5 linked regions of the Macaca mulatta genome follow. The protein of the gene in region 1 purifies or fractionates together with the protein of each later gene. This does not show direct contact. Links are inferred from orthologs where the notes say so. Each region holds a gene or a part of one and is shown on either strand. Other genes may lie near its edges.

Evidence for each region.
Region 2: the proteins of CDC37 (region 1) and CDK6 purify together in Homo sapiens (affinity purification with western blotting; 5 studies listed by BioGRID and IntAct, with this or other methods). This does not show direct contact. The link is inferred for Macaca mulatta from reciprocal best matches to the Homo sapiens genes CDC37 and CDK6.
Region 3: the proteins of CDC37 (region 1) and DDR1 purify together in Homo sapiens (affinity purification with mass spectrometry; 3 studies listed by BioGRID and IntAct, with this or other methods). This does not show direct contact. The link is inferred for Macaca mulatta from reciprocal best matches to the Homo sapiens genes CDC37 and DDR1.
Region 4: the proteins of CDC37 (region 1) and DNAJB1 purify together in Homo sapiens (affinity purification with mass spectrometry; 3 studies listed by BioGRID and IntAct, with this or other methods). This does not show direct contact. The link is inferred for Macaca mulatta from reciprocal best matches to the Homo sapiens genes CDC37 and DNAJB1.
Region 5: the proteins of CDC37 (region 1) and FGFR3 purify together in Homo sapiens (affinity purification with mass spectrometry; 4 studies listed by BioGRID and IntAct, with this or other methods). This does not show direct contact. The link is inferred for Macaca mulatta from reciprocal best matches to the Homo sapiens genes CDC37 and FGFR3.

Annotation. Positions count from the first base shown.
Region 1 is NC_133424.1:11,120,033-11,122,578, forward strand, and holds the end of CDC37 (hsp90 co-chaperone Cdc37), read right to left. Parts: intron 1,075-2,546; coding exon 919-1,074; 3' UTR 501-918; downstream 1-500. UniProt on the Homo sapiens protein: Co-chaperone that binds to numerous kinases and promotes their interaction with the Hsp90 complex, resulting in stabilization and promotion of their activity. Inhibits HSP90AA1 ATPase activity.
Region 2 is NC_133408.1:126,535,343-126,539,315, reverse strand, and holds the start of CDK6 (cyclin-dependent kinase 6), read right to left. Parts: upstream 2,801-3,973; 5' UTR 2,675-2,800; intron 2,022-2,674; exon of another isoform or gene 1,227-2,021; intron 164-1,226; exon of another isoform or gene 2-163; intron 1-1. UniProt on the Homo sapiens protein: Serine/threonine-protein kinase involved in the control of the cell cycle and differentiation; promotes G1/S transition. Phosphorylates pRB/RB1 and NPM1.
Region 3 is NC_133409.1:152,164,634-152,168,794, forward strand, and holds the start of DDR1 (epithelial discoidin domain-containing receptor 1 precursor), read right to left. Parts: upstream 2,801-4,161; coding exon 2,716-2,800; intron 2,623-2,715; coding exon 2,520-2,622; intron 2,328-2,519; coding exon 2,099-2,327; intron 557-2,098; coding exon 409-556; intron 148-408; coding exon 48-147; intron 1-47. UniProt on the Homo sapiens protein: Tyrosine kinase that functions as a cell surface receptor for fibrillar collagen and regulates cell attachment to the extracellular matrix, remodeling of the extracellular matrix, cell migration, differentiation, survival and cell proliferation.
Region 4 is NC_133424.1:15,127,969-15,131,958, forward strand, and holds the start of DNAJB1 (dnaJ homolog subfamily B member 1), read right to left. Parts: upstream 2,801-3,990; 5' UTR 2,715-2,800; coding exon 2,504-2,714; intron 2,358-2,503; exon of another isoform or gene 1,987-2,357; intron 1,415-1,986; coding exon 834-1,414; intron 536-833; coding exon 305-535; 3' UTR 1-304. UniProt on the Homo sapiens protein: Interacts with HSP70 and can stimulate its ATPase activity. Stimulates the association between HSC70 and HIP. Negatively regulates heat shock-induced HSF1 transcriptional activity during the attenuation and recovery phase period of the heat shock response.
Region 5 is NC_133410.1:1,910,164-1,914,206, forward strand, and holds the start of FGFR3 (fibroblast growth factor receptor 3), read left to right. Parts: upstream 1-1,243; 5' UTR 1,244-1,464; intron 1,465-1,834; 5' UTR 1,835-1,936; coding exon 1,937-2,045; intron 2,046-4,043.

The sequences.
Region 1 (2,546 bases):
AGCCTGGGCGACACAGCGAGACTCCGTCTCAAAAAAACAAAACAAAACAAAACACCAAAAAACCAAAACACATCTGTTGGGGCCAGTGCTGGCCATAGGGTGGGGAGATATAGTCCAGGATGCTGCTCCAAAAGGTGGTAAGGAAGCTGGAAGGCCGGGGCTCTGTGGGCAGGTGGGCAAGATCCACAAAACCCTAGGGAACGTTGACTTGGTTTGCAGATCACTACTGCCCTCTGGTGGTGATCAGCTTGGGCAACCCTGCTTCTGGAGGTTCAAGTAGGGACAGGGGAGTGGGTAGGTGAGAACTGAAGGTTAGAGGCTTTTGAGGCCTCTGGAGGAAGACTGTTCCAAGTGGTGGAACAGCATGTGTGAGGCGAGGACCCACGATGGCTGGTGGGCAAAGGACCAGAGAAGCACAGGCTCAGTCCCCAATAATTCCACCAGGTTTCCCTCCCACCTAGAAGAGATGAGCTGCCTGAACAGCCCTCCAGCAGCCCAGAGAGCATCTGAAATTCTTTATTGGAACATCATTGCTGTTTGCCAAATAGAAGACACAGACAGCAGACGAACAGTGAAAACAGAGCCCAGTGACCAGAGCTGGCCCCTTGGCTGAGGACCCTCCCCTACTACCTGGTGGACCAGCCTGGCAACCTCTGCCCCTCCCCGGACCCCCGGGCCTTTGGCATAATGCTGATGGGGGGCTGCAGGCAGTGAAGCCCCTTGACTCAAAGCAGAGACTTGAATGGGCGCTGGAGAGTGGGGACAGTGGAGAGGCCAGGGAGGGCTGGGCGGGCCCCCCGGGCTGGGCCGAGCAGCGCAAGTGGAGGAAGCCAGGAGCGGGCGAGATGGCATCTATCTGTTTTCTGAAAAGGGGCACATAGGGGCCTGGAAGCAGGTGGTGGTGGTAGCTGGGGCAGGTCACACGCTGACATCCTTCTCATCTCCCGTCTTGGGAACAGCCTCCAGCAGCGGGTCCCCAGGACCTGCCTCTTCTCCCTCCTTGGCCTCACTGGCCTTAGAGTTGGGGACCCAGAGGCCGGAGTCAATGCAGCGTTGCATGTGGTACTTCGCGTCCTGTGAGGAGAAGGGCAGGCAGATGAGGTGGGGCCACCACCCAGGGGTCCCCATTATCCCCTGCACATCCCCAAGCTGGCTTCCTGCCTATTGATATTTAACCAATTTATTTGAGATGGAGTCTCACTCTGTCACCCAGGCTGGAGTGCAATGGTGCAATCTCGGCTCACTGCAACCTCCACCTCCCAGGTTCAAGTGCCTCAGCCTCCCAAGTAGCTGGGGTTACAGACACCTGTCACCATGCCTGGCTGATTTTTTTACTTTTAGTAGAGATGGGGTTTTGCCATGTTGGCCAGGCTGGTCTCAAACTCCTGACCTCAGGTGATCCGCCTGCCTTGGCCTCCCAAAGCGCTGAGATTACAGGCGTGAGCCACCGTACTCAGCTGGAACTTTAAATTTTATTTAACTTTAATTTAAATTTAGATAGTGCAATCTAGAACAAAAGCCAGCAAATTTTTTTAGTAAAGGGACTGACTAAATATTTCTGCTTCCGCAAGCCATATGGTCTCCGTCACGACTCAACTCTGTGGCAGAGCAAGATCGGTTGTAGATGACAGTGAAACAATTGAGCATGGCTTCTTTGTTGCAATAAAACTTTATTATAAAGACAGGCAGTGAGTCTGGGAGCTGCGGTTTGCAGAAGCTGGTCTAGATGGCTATGCCCATAGAAGCTTCTAGAAACTCATGGCCAGTCCTGCAGCTAGACCCATTTTACAGACGAGAAAACCAGGGTGACCAACCAGTGAGCCAAGTGGTAGGAATAGGGTCAATCGTGTCCTACTTAGATTCAACGTCTATTGCCACTTCCAAAAATACAGCCAGTTAGACCTTCTTTATAAAAACATAATTTTTAGAAAAAAAATCAGTGAGATGTCATGGTGTCAGCCTATAATCCCAGGTACTTGGGGAGGCTGAGGTGGGAGGATCACTTGAGCCTGGGAGGTGGAGGCTGCAGCCTGGGTGAGAGAGGAAGACCCTGTCTGTCAAAAAAAAAAAAACAGATGGCCAGGTGCAGTGACTCACGCCTGTAATCCCAGCACTCTGGGAGGCTGAGGCGGGCGGATCACGAGGTCAGGAGATTGAGACCATCCTGGCTAACACAGTGAAACCCCGTCTCTACTAAAAAATACAAAAAATTAGCCGGGCATGGTGGTGGGTGCCTGTAGTCCCAGCTACTCGGGAGGCTGAGGCAGGAGAATGGTGCGAACCCGGGAGGCGGAGTTTGCAGTGAGCAGAAATAGCACCACTGCACTCCAGCCTGGGTGACAGAGTGAGACTCTGTCTCAAAAAAAAAAAAACAAAAACAAAAAACAGACAAAATCCAATTAACAGCCAGCATTTACCAGCCCCTGCCGTGTGCTCAGCTCCTTTCCCCACACGTTTTGTGAGCTGATATTGAGAGAAAATATGGTTTGCATAAGGAAACTGAGGCTGGACTCAGTCACAGTAACAGTGACTATCAGTCACAAGGG
Region 2 (3,973 bases), on another chromosome or scaffold:
CCCTCCGCGCGCTCCTGCCCTCTCCCAAGCCGCTTAATCCTTCCTGGTTCCTCCGAGAAAAGCGAAGTTACTTTTCTTTCCCTGCAGGGCTGAAGCCGTCTTCGCGCGGAGAGGTTGCAGGGGCCCCTCGGGGATGAGCGAGCGGCGCGGGACGCAGTGGAACGGGAGGGGGCGTGCCGAGCAGCCCAGAGTGTGCCGGGAGCGCGGGGGAGGGGAGGCGCCGGGCACGTCAATGTCACGGCTTAATATTTATCCCTATATCATTGTGTTGCGTCGCTACCCTCCCCGCCTCCTGAGGCCCGGACGTGCAGGGAGATGGGGTCCAGGGGTGCCGGAGGGCGTTCAAGGGTCGCGCACAAGCTGGAGCGGAAGGACTGTGGGTCCATCCGTGTGGGGCCGCAGAATGTGGGTGGGGGCTCCCAGGACCCTGTAACCCGATGCTGTGAGTGTGCGAGAAGGGGTGGTCAGACATCTGCTCAGAAATTGCTTCCTTTCTTTCTACTTTCAGTTTTTCTACGAGGAGACATTTAAAAACGACTCGCATACACAAATGGTCTCTTTGGGGTAAAGGAGTCTCGGTTGGAAACGGAATTCTCTCTCCGACTGGGAGGACCTCCCTGGTGGAAACCTTGGGAAGACCAGCCATCTGGTCGGGGAGGGTTGGGGCTAATCGGGGGTGGGCGAACGAGAGGTCCTGGGGGAGGGGAGACACTGTCCCCCACGGGATCCCAAGGGTGGGAGAAAGGGGTGTTCGTCACAATTTCGCTTGTCGTCTTCTTAAAGAATAATTTCAGGAAGAGGATAGCTTAATCGCGCCTCGTCCTGAAGTTTTAAATTGATTTCGACCTGAGCAAAACTCAACCTCTCTTTCAAAGGGTGGGGGGTGGGGGGTTAAACCCTGCGCCTCCAGGGGTGAGAAACAAGGTCTCTGCCCTCGGGGCCCGGACTCGCGAACCTTTTCCCACTCCCAGGACCACCCCGCTGTAGGTAGCGGAGGTGGCTGCCCCATTCCCTCTCCGGCTAAAGGCCGGGTCCAGGCTGCAGCCGGACGCCCCCGGAGCCCTCTGCATAACAAAGCGCCGGAGAAGGGTACCCTAACTTTCCCTCCCCATTCAGCAGCTATCTGGGACCTAGGGAGCCTCCCTCCCCCACGGCCGCCGCGGCCTCGGCAGGACTTTCACCACGCTGGCCGCGTGTCCGGAATTCCCGGGGCACCTCGGAATTACCTGCCTCGCAACCGCTGCCCCGCTCGCCTTTTGCCAGGAATTAAACAAACGGCGCGACCCCCACGATGAGCGCGTGGAGCGGACCGCGGCGAAAGCAGTGCTTCTGGCACTCACTCCATTCAGAACTTTCCTTAAAAGCCGAGGAAAGAGCCCCCAAGGACTGCCCGGGCGTCTGAGCCAGGTCGAGGGCCACACAGGTAGCCGGGGAGCCGCCGCCGGCCGCCCAACCCGCCTCTCCTGCGTCCCCCCATCCCCCTCCCGCTCGAGTCTAGCCCCGGGCTCCGCAGCGAAGGAAGCGTCGGGGACGTCCCACCCCCGCAGGGAACTTCGCCTGCTGCCCCCGCCGGGCCCCGCACTACCCTGACTCTCCCCCCACTCGCCCCCCAGACGGTCGGCTTCGGCGGAGAGAAACGGGAGCAGCAATGCCTTTTCCCCCCCTCTCCTCCACTTTTTTTTTGTTGTTGTTGTTGCTTTCCCACGCTGGCTGAATGTGACTTGACCCCATTTCAAAAAAAGTTTGACATAGTGCTTCAACATTTCCGCATTCCTCCGCGACTACAAAGGCTGCAGCCGCCTCCTTCTGCTTTCTGTCTCTGCTCTCTGTCTTCACACTCAATGAAATCCTTCATGCGCCTCTCCCGAAGCCTGCCAAGCACCACAAGGGTCGCCACCAGCACGGCAACAAGAGGCCACACCGGGGACCGCGACTCCCGCGTGTGCGCACACGCAGATGCGCCCATATGCACACGGACGGGCGCCCTGCGGGGACAAGGGCTGCTCACCACGGGGCGTGTGTTTAACTCCAATATTTTAAATGATAAAAGTAAACTTGGAAACTAAAGCAAACGTGCGTCTTCGTGGGGCTCCAAGCCTGGGCACCGGCCGGCTGCGTGCACTCTTCTGTGCATAACACGCCCGCAGGAAGCCTGCGTTAACATTTATCTCGTGGAGGGGAAGGTGGAGCCCACACCCACACCTCAGCGAGCTGGCGAGGGAGTTTTCGTGGGGGAAATGCAAGCACATTCTCCAGCATGGAGTCCCTAGAGGCAGTGCATTTTGAACCCTAAATGTGAATTATTATGTGAATGTCCGAGTAGAGTTCCAGTTCCGTTTGGAGAAACTGGATGAGGAGTGTTCTGTGTGAGTGTGTGTGCGCACGGGTACGTGGAAGCAGGATCTCGGTGTCGCGGGTGTCCCTAGCGTAGGATCTCCCCCTCTCGTCAGATTAGAATCCTCTAGCTCCCCAAAACTGGCCCCCATAACCAACGCCGTCTCAGTTCGTAAGGGGTTAACCAAAGCCGATTCCAGGGAAACACAGGTCCCCCCCACCCCCCGCCAGCCTCCACTTACCCCACCCACAGTTCTGCCTCGGACCCCGGCCAATCCCCCATATCTCCCCAGGGACCCCCCACCCCGCAGCCCACCCACCCGAGCGCACAGCTCCTCACCTGAGGGGCCCAGTCGCGTCGGGCCTCCTGAGGGGGCTGCGAGTGTCAGTCGGCTCTCCGCACGTGTCCGCGGCCTCGCGGAGCAGGTAATCAGACTCTGGGGAAGGAGTTACCAGCACTCTCTCCGGCGAGGGGGTGGGCACAGCGGCGGAGGGCGGAGGGAAGGCGGAGGGCGCCGCCCGCGCCGCTAGCTGGGGGCGGACGGGGGCCGCGGGGCTCTGGCCGGCGCTGGGGGCCCCAGCCAGGGAGGCAGCGGGGGCGACCGCGCGGGGTGGGGGCAGGGACCCGAGAAGCCAACTCTGCCGGAGACCCACCCAGCGGCGAGGCTGGGGGCTCGTGGCGCAGTGGCAAGAAAGTGTGCAAATTAAAGCCTTCCGGAGAGAAAGGAGGCGGCCAAGCCCCGGCAGTGCTCCGAGCTCCGGGCTCCCTAGCTCCCTTCTACGAGTCGGGGGCTAGAAAGGCGCGGGGCGGGGGGGTTGGGGGGGCAGGGGAGTTAAATGAAAATTTCCGGCTTTCACTGAAACTGTAGTAGGGGGATCCTGCGACTAAAATAAGCGGCGTTAGTGGGAGAGAGTGGGACGTGTCGTCGGGAGTCGGCGGAGTTTCCAAACCCAGGGTCGCCCAGAGTTGGGGTTTTGACAGGGTGAAGCAGGGGGTATCCTCACTGTGTGACGTGGACGGATGGGAAAAACACAAAACAACTAACAATAATTATGAAGGGCCGATGGGGGTGGTAAATACCAATACTTTCCAAGAAACTGAAAAATCAGACCAAAAAATAACTCTTCTCTTAAAAAAATAAAGAAAAAGTTTGGCAGGATGCCTTGCAGAAAAGAAAATACTAATCTGTTCAAGCACTTTTCACTTTCAGCATGAGCTACATTTGTTTTGTTTTCCTTCGCTTCCTTTCTGCCTCACAAAGCCCTATCTTTTCCTTTTAGACAGAGGGTATGGTTTGGAAATTGTCAGGCACTCTTATGGTTAACGATCTACTTGAAGGGGCTGGCGGGTTCACAATTATTAAGTGGTTAGTAACTGCTGAGGGTTCACTAACGTATTTCAGAGGAGCTAAAAAGACTAAAATTTAGTGTAAATAATAGAACTGCAGATAATAGATACATACACAGAAAGAGGAGTGCTCAGTTTAAATGCATTATTGGAAATCTGAAATTTGAAACCTTGTAAGAATGTATACTTTACCTGCTGAGAAACCCTTGAATACAATTATTTCAGGTGAAAATGAGCTTTTGGAGAAAAAAAGTCTTTAAAACCTTCTACAATGGAGTAAAAGAAAACTTG
Region 3 (4,161 bases), on another chromosome or scaffold:
TCCTCCCTCCCACCCCAAACTCCACGTCCTGCAGGGGTCTTTCTTACCCGCCCATGGTATGTCCATCATAGGTGGAGTCGTTGAGGTACACAGCCTCAGATAAGTACATTGTCTGCCCCACAGGGGCGGTGTAAGACAGGAGTCCATCTGGGGCAGGGTGAGAGGATGGGGATCAGAGGCACGAAGGCTCCATCCCCCATCCCTGCATCAGGCCTGGGCAGGTTTCAGGTCCCTTCTCATATCTCTCCACTGGCACATTGGCATGGAGGAGACAATGCCAGCTAGCCCCCTCCTCAGAGTGACAGTTTCCCAGCAGGAGAAAGGGAATCCTGGATGCCCATTCTCCACACTCCCCACCCTGCACTCCCCTGCTCAGGAAACAGATTTCCAGGGAGCTGGGCCACTCACCCCTCCAGAGGCAGCCATAGAGCTCCACCCGCAGACAGACGCTCATGACCCGGTCAGCCCGGGGGTAGAAGCGAACCAGTCGGGCAACCATGGGGGGCCCAAGGTCCTTCAGCACTACTCCCTCAGGGTCCTCATTGCCTGAGATCACCTGTGGGCCAGGAAACGGGGTGTGTGGGAAGGGGTCCAGGTCAGATCTTACTTCCCAGCCACCAGCTGCTCCCTGGCCCAGCCCACAGTGGCCACTTAGAGACCCGTGAGGGGTGGCACCGAGCACACAGCACTGTGGGGCGCAGCCAGGCATGGGTGAAATGAAGATCTGCAGCTGAGACCTCTGGTCCTCTTGCAGCTCTGATGTTCTGTCCTCAGACTCCAGGCTCAGCTGCCCTCTTCTCCTTGTCTGGCTCCATCCATTTGTCTCCCAGCCTATCCTCCCATTGTGCCCAGATTCTCCCCAGTCCTCACAGCCCTGCACCCCTGCCTCAGCTTCCCCTTCATTTCAGCCCATTCCCTCTGTTTATTCAGCAGAAGGTGGGTGAGTGCCCGCTCTGTGCCAGGCACGTTCTCAGTGGTGAACGTCACTCCCCACCCTTGCAGGACTGAAATCCCAGCAAGGGAAACAGCTGCGAAGAACAAGAGGCAGGGTGTATGGACAGAGCAGTGCAGTGGGTGGCCAGAAAAGGCTCTCTGAGGAGGTGACACCTGGCGGAGAACCGAATGGGGTGAGGGAGAGCCTGTGGTTATTTGCGGGAGGAGCTTTGCAGGCACAGAGAAAACGTCCGGAAGCTGTGGGAACGAGCCCTGGCTTGTTCCAGCAACGAGAACGGCAGTGTGGCCAAGGAGGCACAAGGAGCCAGTGATGCAGGCAGGAGCCAGGTCAGGCTGAGCATCCCGCACCAGCTAGGGGCTCAGCTTTTGTTCTGGCAGAGTGGAAAGCCAGCACAGGGGTGTCGGCTAGGTGTGATGTATCTGATTTACATGCTTTAAGGTCCACTTGATGCAGCCCCCCAGGTGGAAATCTGGCTCCAGGCAGAAAAGGGCAGAAGCAGGGAGACCGATTTGGCATCTACTGCACTCATCTAAGCTGGAGATGGTGGGCGGGTGGCCTAGGGCAGTAGAGGTGGAGTGGTGAGGAGTGACTGGACTCAGGAACACTATGGAGGTAGAACGGACTGGGCTGCTGATGCTTTGGAAGGAGGTGAGAGAAAAAGAGGAATCAAGGATATCATCTTAGCTTATAGCCTAGGCAACCAGGCAATGGTGATACCACTTCCTGAGCTGGAGAATGCCAGGGGAGGAGCAGGTTTAGGTTAGGAATGGGAATCAAATTCAGCTTGGGAAATTAAAGGTACGTTTGAGATGCCTATTAGACATCTAGGTGGCTGACTACAATGCTTGTAATCCCAGCACTTTGGGAGGCTAAGGTGGGAAGATCGCTGAGCCCAGGAGTTCAAGACCAGCCTGGGCAACATAGCAAGACCCCATCTGTTTAAAAAAAAAAAAAAAAAAAAAGACATCTAGGTGAAGAAGTCCAAAAGGTAGCCAGGTTTGCAATACTGTTTGGAGCTCAGCTGAGAGGCTTGGGCTGGCGATTATATAAACTGGAGGGTCGTCAGTGTATAGGTGGTGTTTACAGTACAGCTGGAAGTGAGGAAAATCAACCTCCTCTGGGTGCTGCCTCTGCCAGCCTCACCTCCTGACCCCAGCGGTCCTTCCAGTCCATCCAGCGGCGACCGTCCCGGGAGTAACGCAGCCGGTAGCTCCGGGAGAACTCCTTGCCCAGGCCCCCAGCATGCCGTCCCTGGGTGCCCACCAGAGCCACCAGGTGCAGCCGTTGTAGATCCACCTGCAAGTACTCCTCCTCCTTGGGAAACACCGACCCTGCGGGGCACCAGGCCCCATCCCCGTCACTGCTCTCCAACCTGAGAGGGTGAAGAGGGGCACAGAGAACATCTGGCCCCAGGTCTGCCTCTATCTCCAGTACTTAAACCCCACTTCATTCGCCCCTCAGACTGCAGGGCTTTCACTGGCATGGGCAGAGGGGTTGGAGGGGAAGTAGAGGTCCCAGGGGCTCCCCTCGGGGCAGCTGCAGGTGTATCAGGTGTGCCAAGTACCTGCTGTGGCGGGCGGCAGTGGAGTCTGACCAGGAGCTGGAAGCAGAGATGTCACTGTCTGGGATGGTCCGGTCCTGCATGCCCAGGGCATAGCGGCACTTGGCTGAGTAAAAAGCAGGCATGTAACAGGTCAAGGCCCCCAAATCTCTACCTCCCAAGCCCTGGCCCTCAGGGACCCATGATTCAGTCTCCTCACCAGGATCAAAATGTCCCTTCATGTCAGCATCTCCACTTGCCACCAAGAGCAGCAGCAGTAAAGACGAGAGGGCCCCTGGCCCCATAGCTCCTGATCCCTCGGGCCTAAGGGGGTGGGGGCAGCATCTCTGCAGGGGATAAAATGGGTGGTGGGTAAGTTAATCAGGGGACTGAGTCATAGCTGACAGCAACAGACAGAATGGGCCGCTTTGGGGATAATAACAGTAAAACAACAACAACAGTCATTGTTTAACAGCATCAGCTGTATTTTTAGAATGCTTCCCCTGTGCCAGACACTGGCCTAAACCCTTAAACAGAATCCATAATTTTATCTTCACAGTCACTTCATAAGGTAGATACTATTACTATCCATATTTAACACATGAAGAAACGAGGGCAGAGATCAGTTAACTTCCTGAAGCCCCATTTCTGCAATCAAGAATGGGCAAAATACTCCCATAGACAATGGCTTAGAACAAACAAGTGTGCAAAAAATGTTATAACACACACAACAGGAAAAGGTTTAATAACTACAGTAAACTAAGGCCCCTTAGGAACTGACAAGAAAAAATATATAAGTAACCCAATAAAGAAACAACCAAAGAATTTGAATAGTCATTTCACAGAAAAGCAAAGCCAAATTGCCAACATTTTTTTATGGTCAAATTCACTAGCCTCAGGGAAATACCACGCAGATTGACTAGATATTTTTTTAAGGCTGTAACATATAAAAGTGGTGGAGGGTGAAGAAAAGGGAGGCACCATGCTCAATGGCAGAAATGTAGTGTTATCCTCTATTAGGAAAGGGATCTAGCAATGTCTATTATAATTTAAAAAGCACATCCTCTTCGACCCAGCATTCCCTCTCCTAACGATCTACCCAAATGGGGAGACAGAAGCACCAGGAAGAAAGAACATATGTGCAGGGCTGGGTCTGGTGGCTCATGCCTGTAACCCCAGCACTTCGGGAGGTTGAGATGGGAGGATCACTTGAGGCCAGGAGTTAGAGACCAGCCTGGTCAACATAGCGAGACCCCATCTCTTTAAAAAAAAAAAAATGAAAAAGAAAAAAGAAAAAAAAGAAGATGCTCAAAGATGTTTATTATGGCACCTTTTGTGAGACATAAATCTGTAAGATATGTGAATGCTCACAGGGGACAGGCTGGAATTAAAAAATAATAATAATAAGGTTTATGGACTACTCTGCAGCTATGAAAAGTAACAAAGAGGCAATAAATTCCTAACTTAGTGTAATTTCCTTGTGTATCTGTTGAATATGAAAAGCAACCTACAGAAGTATAAAAAATTATCCCACCTTTTGAAAACAGAACAAGCACCCATGTTTGTATATATATCTGTGTGTATGTCTACAGGTAAAGAATATATAATAGAATATAAAAATAGAATATAATATAACACGAGTTAACATGAATGGGGCAAAAGAAAA
Region 4 (3,990 bases), about 4.0 Mb from region 1:
CTGGTCTGCCTCTACCCCTGGACAGGGACTGGAGGAGGAGGATGTGGGCCCATCCCGGGAGGGCTGCCGGACCCAGTGGGGCAGACTGGAATGCCTTTTCCTGCTGTTCCCACCACCTGATGCCCTATCGCTCGAAAAACCACTTTAGTCTAGTGTACGACTTTGAAAGATTGTAATATATGCTCTGGAAAACATTCAGCAGTATGAAAGTCCTCCCTGGGCCCTCCCATGGTCCACAATTGGTAGAAAGGTCCAGAAATCCTTGAGCTCTGGAAAGGTCCCTGGTCAGTCGGAGCTCTGGCAGCTATATTGGAAGGACCTGCTCAAGTACGGTTCTTGATGTCTGGGGAATCCTTTCGGGGAAGATCACTTCAAATTCAATAATGAGGTCCCCACGTTTCTCGGGCGTTTTGGGGAGGGGGAGGCCTTCTCCAGGAACTTTTCGGCGCATGCCAGGCCTGATGACATCTTTGAATACGACGGGTATGGTCCTGCCGTCCAGAGTGGGGACGTTCACTGTGCAGCCACACAGAGCCTTGAAAAGCAAAGGGATAAGCATTAGATGGAAGCTGGCTCAAGAGGCTCAGCTCTTGCCCGGAGACCATCTGGCATAGAGTAAGACTCATCAGGCCTCTGCAGCCAACACCTGGCCCCCAAATCGACATGTCTCCACCATGAAAGCTCCAGAACAGCACCCTGATCACTCCTGTTCACTGTGGTGCCCCAAGCCTGGCAAGCGCCACACACCCAATGCGTGTTCAGCAAAACCTAAATAAACTGCTTCAAAGAGCAGCCATCGCGCTCTGCAGACACCGCCCCACCTGGCACCTTACCTCCCGGAGGCTGATCCTGGCAGGATAAATCACATCAGAGCCATCTCTCTTAAAGATATTGTGTGGCTTGTCCTTTAAAACAAAGACGATATCAGCTGGAATGTTGTTGGAGGTCTGGTCTCCTTCCTTGGGGAAGGTGATTTTGGTCCCTTCTTTCCACCCCTTCTTCACTTCGATGGTCAAGATTTTGTCTTCGTTTCGAATGCTCTTTCCGTCGGGGTTTAGCCGCTTGTGGGAGATTTTCATCTTCTTGGTACAACCGCTGTAGATCTCTTCAAGGGAGACTCGAAGGTCGTGGGTGACTGGGGGATCTTGCTTCTTTCGGGTGGGCTCTTGGGAAGGGCGGGAGCGGCCAAAGTTCACGTTGGTGAAGCCACCCATGCCCATAGGGAAGCCAGAGAACGGGTCATCAATGTCCATGCCTTCCTCCCCGTTCCGCTGCCCAAAAAAGGTGTCAAAGGGATTTCTGCCACCGAAGAACTCAGCAAACATGGCATGAGGGTCTCCATGGAACGTGTAGCTGAAAGAGGTACCATTGGCACCACTGCCGCTACCGCCACTGGGGCCACTGCCCTTTAGGCCTGAAAAGCAGAATTAGAAGCAGTCAGATGGCTGAACAGCAGACTCCCTCTCGAGCTTCCCTTACGGGGGAAAAAAGCTTGGAAGCCATGGGGGAGGAACTTTTTTTAGCCTGCCAGGGGAGAGCAAGGAAGAACCCCAAGCTTCTACCCCTCACTGCAGCAGCAGAGCTGCCCCCCCCCCCACCAAGTACTTCCGCATAGCCTGACAGTGGAAAAGGACTCATGCGGTTAGGTGTCCACCTACAGGTGCCACCTGGGCCCTGCCACTCCTGGACTGACCCATCCTCCTGGCAATGTCACCAAGGGATGGCTAAACACACACGGTCCAGGGTCGGCTTTCGGTATTTACTTTCAACATTTTAGGACTACTGATGTGTACGAAGAGTGAAAATAAGGAAAAAAAAAGATGTAGAGTTTTTAAACCCTCACACTAGCATTCACTGCTACCATCCTTGCATAATAAGTCAGTCCCAGATCAAGCCCAGAAGCCAGCCTGAGTCATCAAGGGGCACAGGGACAAAAAGCCCCACTCTCCGTCCCCCCAAACCCCCAGGCGGCCCAGCTCTCCGCACCTAGGCGGCCGCTGCCTCCTGCGTGCCCGGCCGGGACCAGGTCATCACTTCCCGGAAATCATCCCAGCCCAGCCCCAAGGCCCGCGAGCGGGGTCGGCGCCTGCATTTACAGCCCCGCGCCCCGCAGCTGAGCCGCAGGCGCCGCCCTGCGGACCCCGGCGGCTAAGCCCAGGTGAGCTCGGGTCCGCAGCAGGCTCCGCCGTGCCGTCCCCGTCGTCACCCCCGGCTCCCCCACCCCCCTGCACCGCACCCCGGGGCTGCTCGGGGCCGCGGGAAGAGGCGCCCGGGGAGGGGCAGCCTTAGACATGCTAGAAGCTTCTGGGCGAGCGGCTGGGCCAAGGCTCCTCCCCCCACCGCACGGCCGCCAATCCAAGGGCGGAGGCCCGAGCGGCCGGAGGGCGGGGCAGCTCGGCCCCCGGGCCCGGGGCGTCCTTCCCGGGGGGCCGCCGAGAGGGGCCGGTATGCCTCGGTTTCCCTGTCAAACGGCGGGACCGCGCCCCTGGCCGCGCGCACACACCTTCCTCTCCGTAGCGGTCGAAGATCTCGCGCTTGCGCGGGTCGCTGAGCACGTCGTAGGCCTCGGCGATCTCCTTGAACTTCTCCTCGGCGCCGGGCTCCTTGTTCTTGTCCGGGTGGTAGCGCAGCGCCTGGCGGCGGTAGGCCCGCTTGATCTCCTCATCCGACGCGCCGCGGGCCAGGCCCAGCGTCTGGTAGTAGTCTTTGCCCATGGCCCCCCGCTGCGGCCCGCCGACCCGCTGTCGCCGTCCCCCGGCTCCGCCGCCGCCCGGTCCCGGACTCTATATACCCGTCCGGCGGAAGCTTCCAGAGCCCGCCAGCCCCCTCCAGAACCTTCCGCCCCGCCCCCCCGCCCGCGGCGCCGGCCAATCGCCGCCACCCTTTCCGTGACACGCGACATCCGGGGCGGGGCTTTGCCGTCAACGGCCGCCGGCGCGGGGCCACGCCCCCTCCCGCTCCGCCCTCGACAACGCCTCCCGGCGGCGCGCGCACAGGTCGGAGGAGGCCCCGCCCACCTTCCGGGACGAGCCAATCGCGAGCTTCTTTCACACTCTGCACCGCCCCAGCGACCCTGCGTCCCGCCCTCCGCCTGGGTCAGTGGGTCAGGAGCCGTCGCGAAGGTGATGTTCCGGGAAGGGGTGGGGCCTGGGACTAGCCTGTCTTTTCCCCAGGAGGTGATAAACCTTCCAGCCCTTGTCTCGCGGGACCTGCGGTGGGCCTCCGCCGGGTGACGCCGGACGAACAACCTAACCCGCGTCTGCTTAACCCAGGGGTCTCTTTCTTTCTACAATATGGCAATAAGAGAACCTGACACGGAGCCTCACGACTGTAATTTCCATCACTTCCTGAGGCCAAGACAGGAGAATCTCTAGGGCCTAGGAGTTGGAGACCAGCCTAGGCAACATAAGCAGACTCCGTTTCTTTTTAAAATAAACAAACAGGCCGGGCGCGGTGGCTCACGCCTGTAATCCCAGCATTTTGGGAGGCCGAAGTGGGCGGATCACTTGAGGTCAGGAGTTCGAGACCAGCCTAGCCAACATGGTGAAATCCCGTCTCTGCTAAAAATACAAAAATTACCCGGGCGTGGTGGCACGCACCTGTAATCCCAGCTACTCAGGAGGCTGAGGCCTGAGAATAGCTTGAATCGGGGAGGCGGAGGTTGCAGTGGGCCGAGATCGGGGCACTGCACTCCAGCCTGGGCGACAGAGCGAGACTCCGTCTCAAAATAAAATACATAAATAAATAAATAAGTAAAATAAAACAAAATGAACAAACAAGGAATCCACCAGCGCTATTTTCCCAACTGTGGGGAGAAGGATGTTGGGACAGAAGACTGCCTCTGTTCTCCCTTCCTAAAGCGAGGTGAGGATCTGGGCGAAAGCTCACCTCCCGAGGTCCTCCCAGTCCCGCCTTCTTCACTTTACTGCCCTCTCAAGAGCACTTGCTGCTAAATTAGAAATTTATTTTGTGGCCGGGCGCGGTGGCTCA
Region 5 (4,043 bases), on another chromosome or scaffold:
GGACATGGACTTGGCCAGAGCAGGAAACAAGGGTGGCCGAGGACAAGTGCTGAGCCACCAAGTGGGCACAGAGAGGTGGGCATGAGGGCTCCCTGGGAGCAGAGCCCTTCCAAGGCCCTGAGGTCAGTCCAGGGACACCCTGGCCTCTGGGAGCTGCAGGGTTGAGCTGTGCATGGGCTGGGTAGGGTCAGCAAACAGCCAGTCACTGAGGGACTTTTAGCGCCCATTTTCCTGATGACTACATTTAGTCCTGGAAGCCACAAGCCAGGCGGGCAGCAGACTCGGCCGGCCCTCCCCCCAGCTCACTGGCTCCCATGGGCTCCGGACCCCCTTGGGCTTTGCCTGAAGATGGGAGCAGTTGGCCTTTTCCTTGTGAGGGTGGACACAGAAGCTAACAGTCATGTGGGGTAAGGGGACCCAGACACCCGCAGCGTCCCCCGCAGGGCAGTATCTTCCCCTCCTGGGAACCCACCTCACCAGTCCCAACCCTCCTCAGCTGGACTCTGAGCCCGCCCCGTGGAGCCTAGAACCTCGGGCCAGCTCAGGCTCTGCCACCAGCTCTTCGTTATTCTCCCTCAGAGCCGGGCTGCGCTCCCCAAGCCAGGGGTCTCCAGCCCCTGCCCTTCATTCTAGGCCGGGCAGGCAGCCAGTCCCAGGCCTGTGTCCTCCTGGGGGGCAGGGGTAGGGACCTCTCGGGGCTGGGCACTCAGGCGGCTTAGGTGCATGCGGCTCGGCCCCAGGTTAGTCAACGCAGCCTCTGCTCCTTGCCAGTCAGGTACGCAGGCCGCACCGGGCTGCCCCAGGCCTGCGGCGCACACCGGAGGCTCGGCCTGGAATGCCGCCCTGCCCTCCTCCACCTGAGGAATTCCCGCTCACACCACAGGGTTCAGCTCCGCGGCATCTTGGCGACGCCTCCTGACATCCCGACCCCCGCCGAGACCTCCCCTCTGAGCTCCTGAGCACAGCCTCAGGGGACCCGAGCTGCGCGCTGTGCAAACGGAAGCCTGCGCTCGCCCTCGGTGCGCCCCGTGCCCACCGCCCACCGGGCCGCCCCGCGGTGCGATTGGGGGCCTCGCCCGCCTGCCCCGGCTCCCACGCCCTCGAGACCGCCGGGCGCCCCCGCCCGGCCACGCCCCCTCGGATGCCCCGCTCCGCCCCGAGGGGGCGTGCCTTGCGCCCCGGCGAGTCGGGCGGGGGCCGGGCGGGAGCGGGGCGGGGCCGGGGCGGGGCGCGGACCGTCCCCCACTGGCTGCGGCGCGCGGGGCAACCCAGGCTCAGTGCGCGGTGGCGGCGGCGGCGGCGGTGGCGGCGTCGCGAGCAGCTGGCGCCGCGCGGTCCTGCTCTGCCGGTCGCACGGACGCACCGGCGGGCCGCCGGCCGGAGGGACGGGGCGGGAGCTGGGCCTGCGGACAGCGAGCCGGAGCGGGAGCCGCGCCTAGCGAGCCGGACTCCGGCGCCCGCCAGGTCGGTGCTTGGGTCCGGGCAGGCGCGCGGAGGGGTCCAACGGTGCGCGCGGAGGGGCCGGGGCGCGGCAGTCGCGGAACCACAGCAGTCCCTGCGGCGGGCCGGGCCGGGGCGCGGGCTTCCCGCTCCGGAAAGTTTGCCGCCGCCGCCGCCGCCCTGGGAGGGCTCTGCAGCAGCCAGGGAGGGAAGGGGGAGGAGGGAGGAACCGCGGCGGGGAGGAGGCGGCCGGCGCCAGGCGGCCCGGGAGCTCTGGGCGGCGGCGGCGGCGGGCGGGGCGGCTGGGGGTCGGAGGGGTCGGGGCGCAGGAGCCGGCCACCGCCGCTTTCGTCCCTACCCGCGCCGCTAACGAGCTGCCCTCCTCCTCCCGCAGTTTCCCAAGCGGCGCCCGCCTCCCGCCGGTGCCCGCGCCGGGCCGTGGGGGGCAGCATGCCCGCGTGCGCCGCCTGAGGACGCCGCGGCCCCCGCCCCCGCCATGGGCGCCCCTGCCTGCGCCCTCGCGCTCTGCGTGGCAGTGGCCATCGTGGCCGGCGCCTCCTCGGAGTCCTTGGGGACGGAGCAGCGCGTCGTGGGGCGAGTGGCAGGTAAGAAGGGACCCACTGGGCACGGGAGGGGCCGGCCCGTGCGGGCAGAGGCGTTGGGGACGGGAACCGGCCCCAGGTCGGAGGGAACTCCGGGTGTGAGTGACGCCCCGGGGTCAGCGCCCGGATTCCGCTGTCTCCGTCCCGGAGAGCGCGGCCAGCGGTAGCGCGGCGACTTGTGGGGCGCCTGGAGCCGCAGGTACCCCCCAAATGCGAGGCCGCCACTGGGAGCCAGGCCGGGGGTTGGCGTCCGCAGCCCCGTCCCCTGCGGCTCCCCAGCCCTGGCCTGTCGGGAGGGCGCGGGTTTCCCCATTTCCACGATTCCCGCTGTTCTTCGGGTTCTGCGCAGACGGAAAGTTCCCATTGTTGGCGTCCCCCTCCCCCGGGCCCCAGTTTGTGGCGAGCTTCGGCCAAGGGGAGAGGCCGGACTTCTGAGGGTGGGTGTGCGCGTCAGCGAAGCCCGGCCCCTGCCCGCCGGACGAGGCTGCAGCCTCCAGCGCCCCCGCTGCCGACCCTGCCAGTGCCTGGGGGCTGAGGGCGCTTCCCCGTGGGTGCGCGCCGAGCTCCAGGCGAGCGAGGAGCGCGTGTCCCAGCGTCGCGGGCCCTAGACCGGGCTGGCGGTCCAGGTCCTGCGGGACGTCAAGTGTCTGAAGGGAGGTGAGGGGAAGGGGCGCCCGGCCCGCCCTGCACGCGCGCCGCGGTTCCTCGCGGGTCGGGCCGAGAGCTCCGGTGCCGCCGCCCCGTACACGCTGCCGGCTCCGGGCGGGCGAAGGGGGCGCGCACAGCCCAGCCCGGCGGCCGCGCGGAGGGAGGCCCTGGCCCGGTGAGTTCGCGCCCCACCCGGGCCCAGGCCCGAACAGCCGCTCCTTTGTACCTCGGCGCGGCCACAGACCGCGCATTGATGGCGGCGCGGCGGCTCGCGGGGAGGTGTGAGCGGCTGCGGGCGCGGCGGGCCGGGGAGGGCGCCGGGAGGGCCGAGGCAGATGGCGGCCGCCCCGCCCGCGCCCCCGCGCCCCTTTCTCCGGCGGCGGCTGCAGCCTCCCGGAACAATGTCATTTTTTTTATGAATGAAAGTGGCCCGGCGCTTGAATGTGCGTGTCATTCAGCGGCGTGACAGGGGCCGTCGGGAGGTCAGCGCGCGCTTTTAGCGCCTGCTCGGGCGGCCCCGCTTCCAGGGGTGCGGGAGGGGCGGCCGCGGGGGGAGCCTGGCTTTCGTATTCTCATTCAGATAAAGATATTACTCCCTACGGCCCGGGAATGTCAGCCAGCCCCGGGGAGGGGCGGCGGCCAGGCTACAGAGCGTCTCCCGGATCCCCGGCGGGCGCGCGGGGCCTCCCCTTCTCGCCCCTGGAACGCCCCGCCCCCCGCCTTGGGGCGGCGACCCCGCCCGCACTGGAGCTGGTGAAACAGGTAGTGAGTTGATCGGTCAATAAATTTAATCCGGTTCCTTAACAAGATGGGCCGGGCAGTAAAAATACAAAGACCTCGTGAAATGGACTGAGGTCTAGGCTGGCGCTTGCCTGGGAACATAAATTATGGAGCCTTGGCTGGCAGTGGTCAAGGGCGGTGGGGAAGGTTTTGGCCCCTGGACTGCCCTGGCCACCCCAGGCCCTGCCAGGACAGCCGCCATCTCCCCAGAGGGCTGTGTTCCTGGTTGGAGCCTAGGGGGACCCCCCAGGGTGCAGGGAGGAAGACAAGGTCGGCTCTCCCACAGCGCCACACCCCCCAGCAGGGGTCTCGGGGTGCAGGGTCTTTCCTGAAGGTGCTGACTGAATCCTCCCCCACCCCTCCTCTGCCGGGCTGGACTTTGAGCCGCGTGGGCCTCTGGGTGGTTCATTAACCTGGGCTGAGCGTGGCCTCCAGGTCCTTGTGTGAGCCTAGGAACCCCTCGTTACTCACCCCCCAGCCCCCCAGCTCTCAGGTACTTGGAGCTGGAACTGGGAATGGGGCACCCCTTGTTACAGCTGAGCTTGGGTGGGAGTCCAGGGGCTTGGGGGTCTC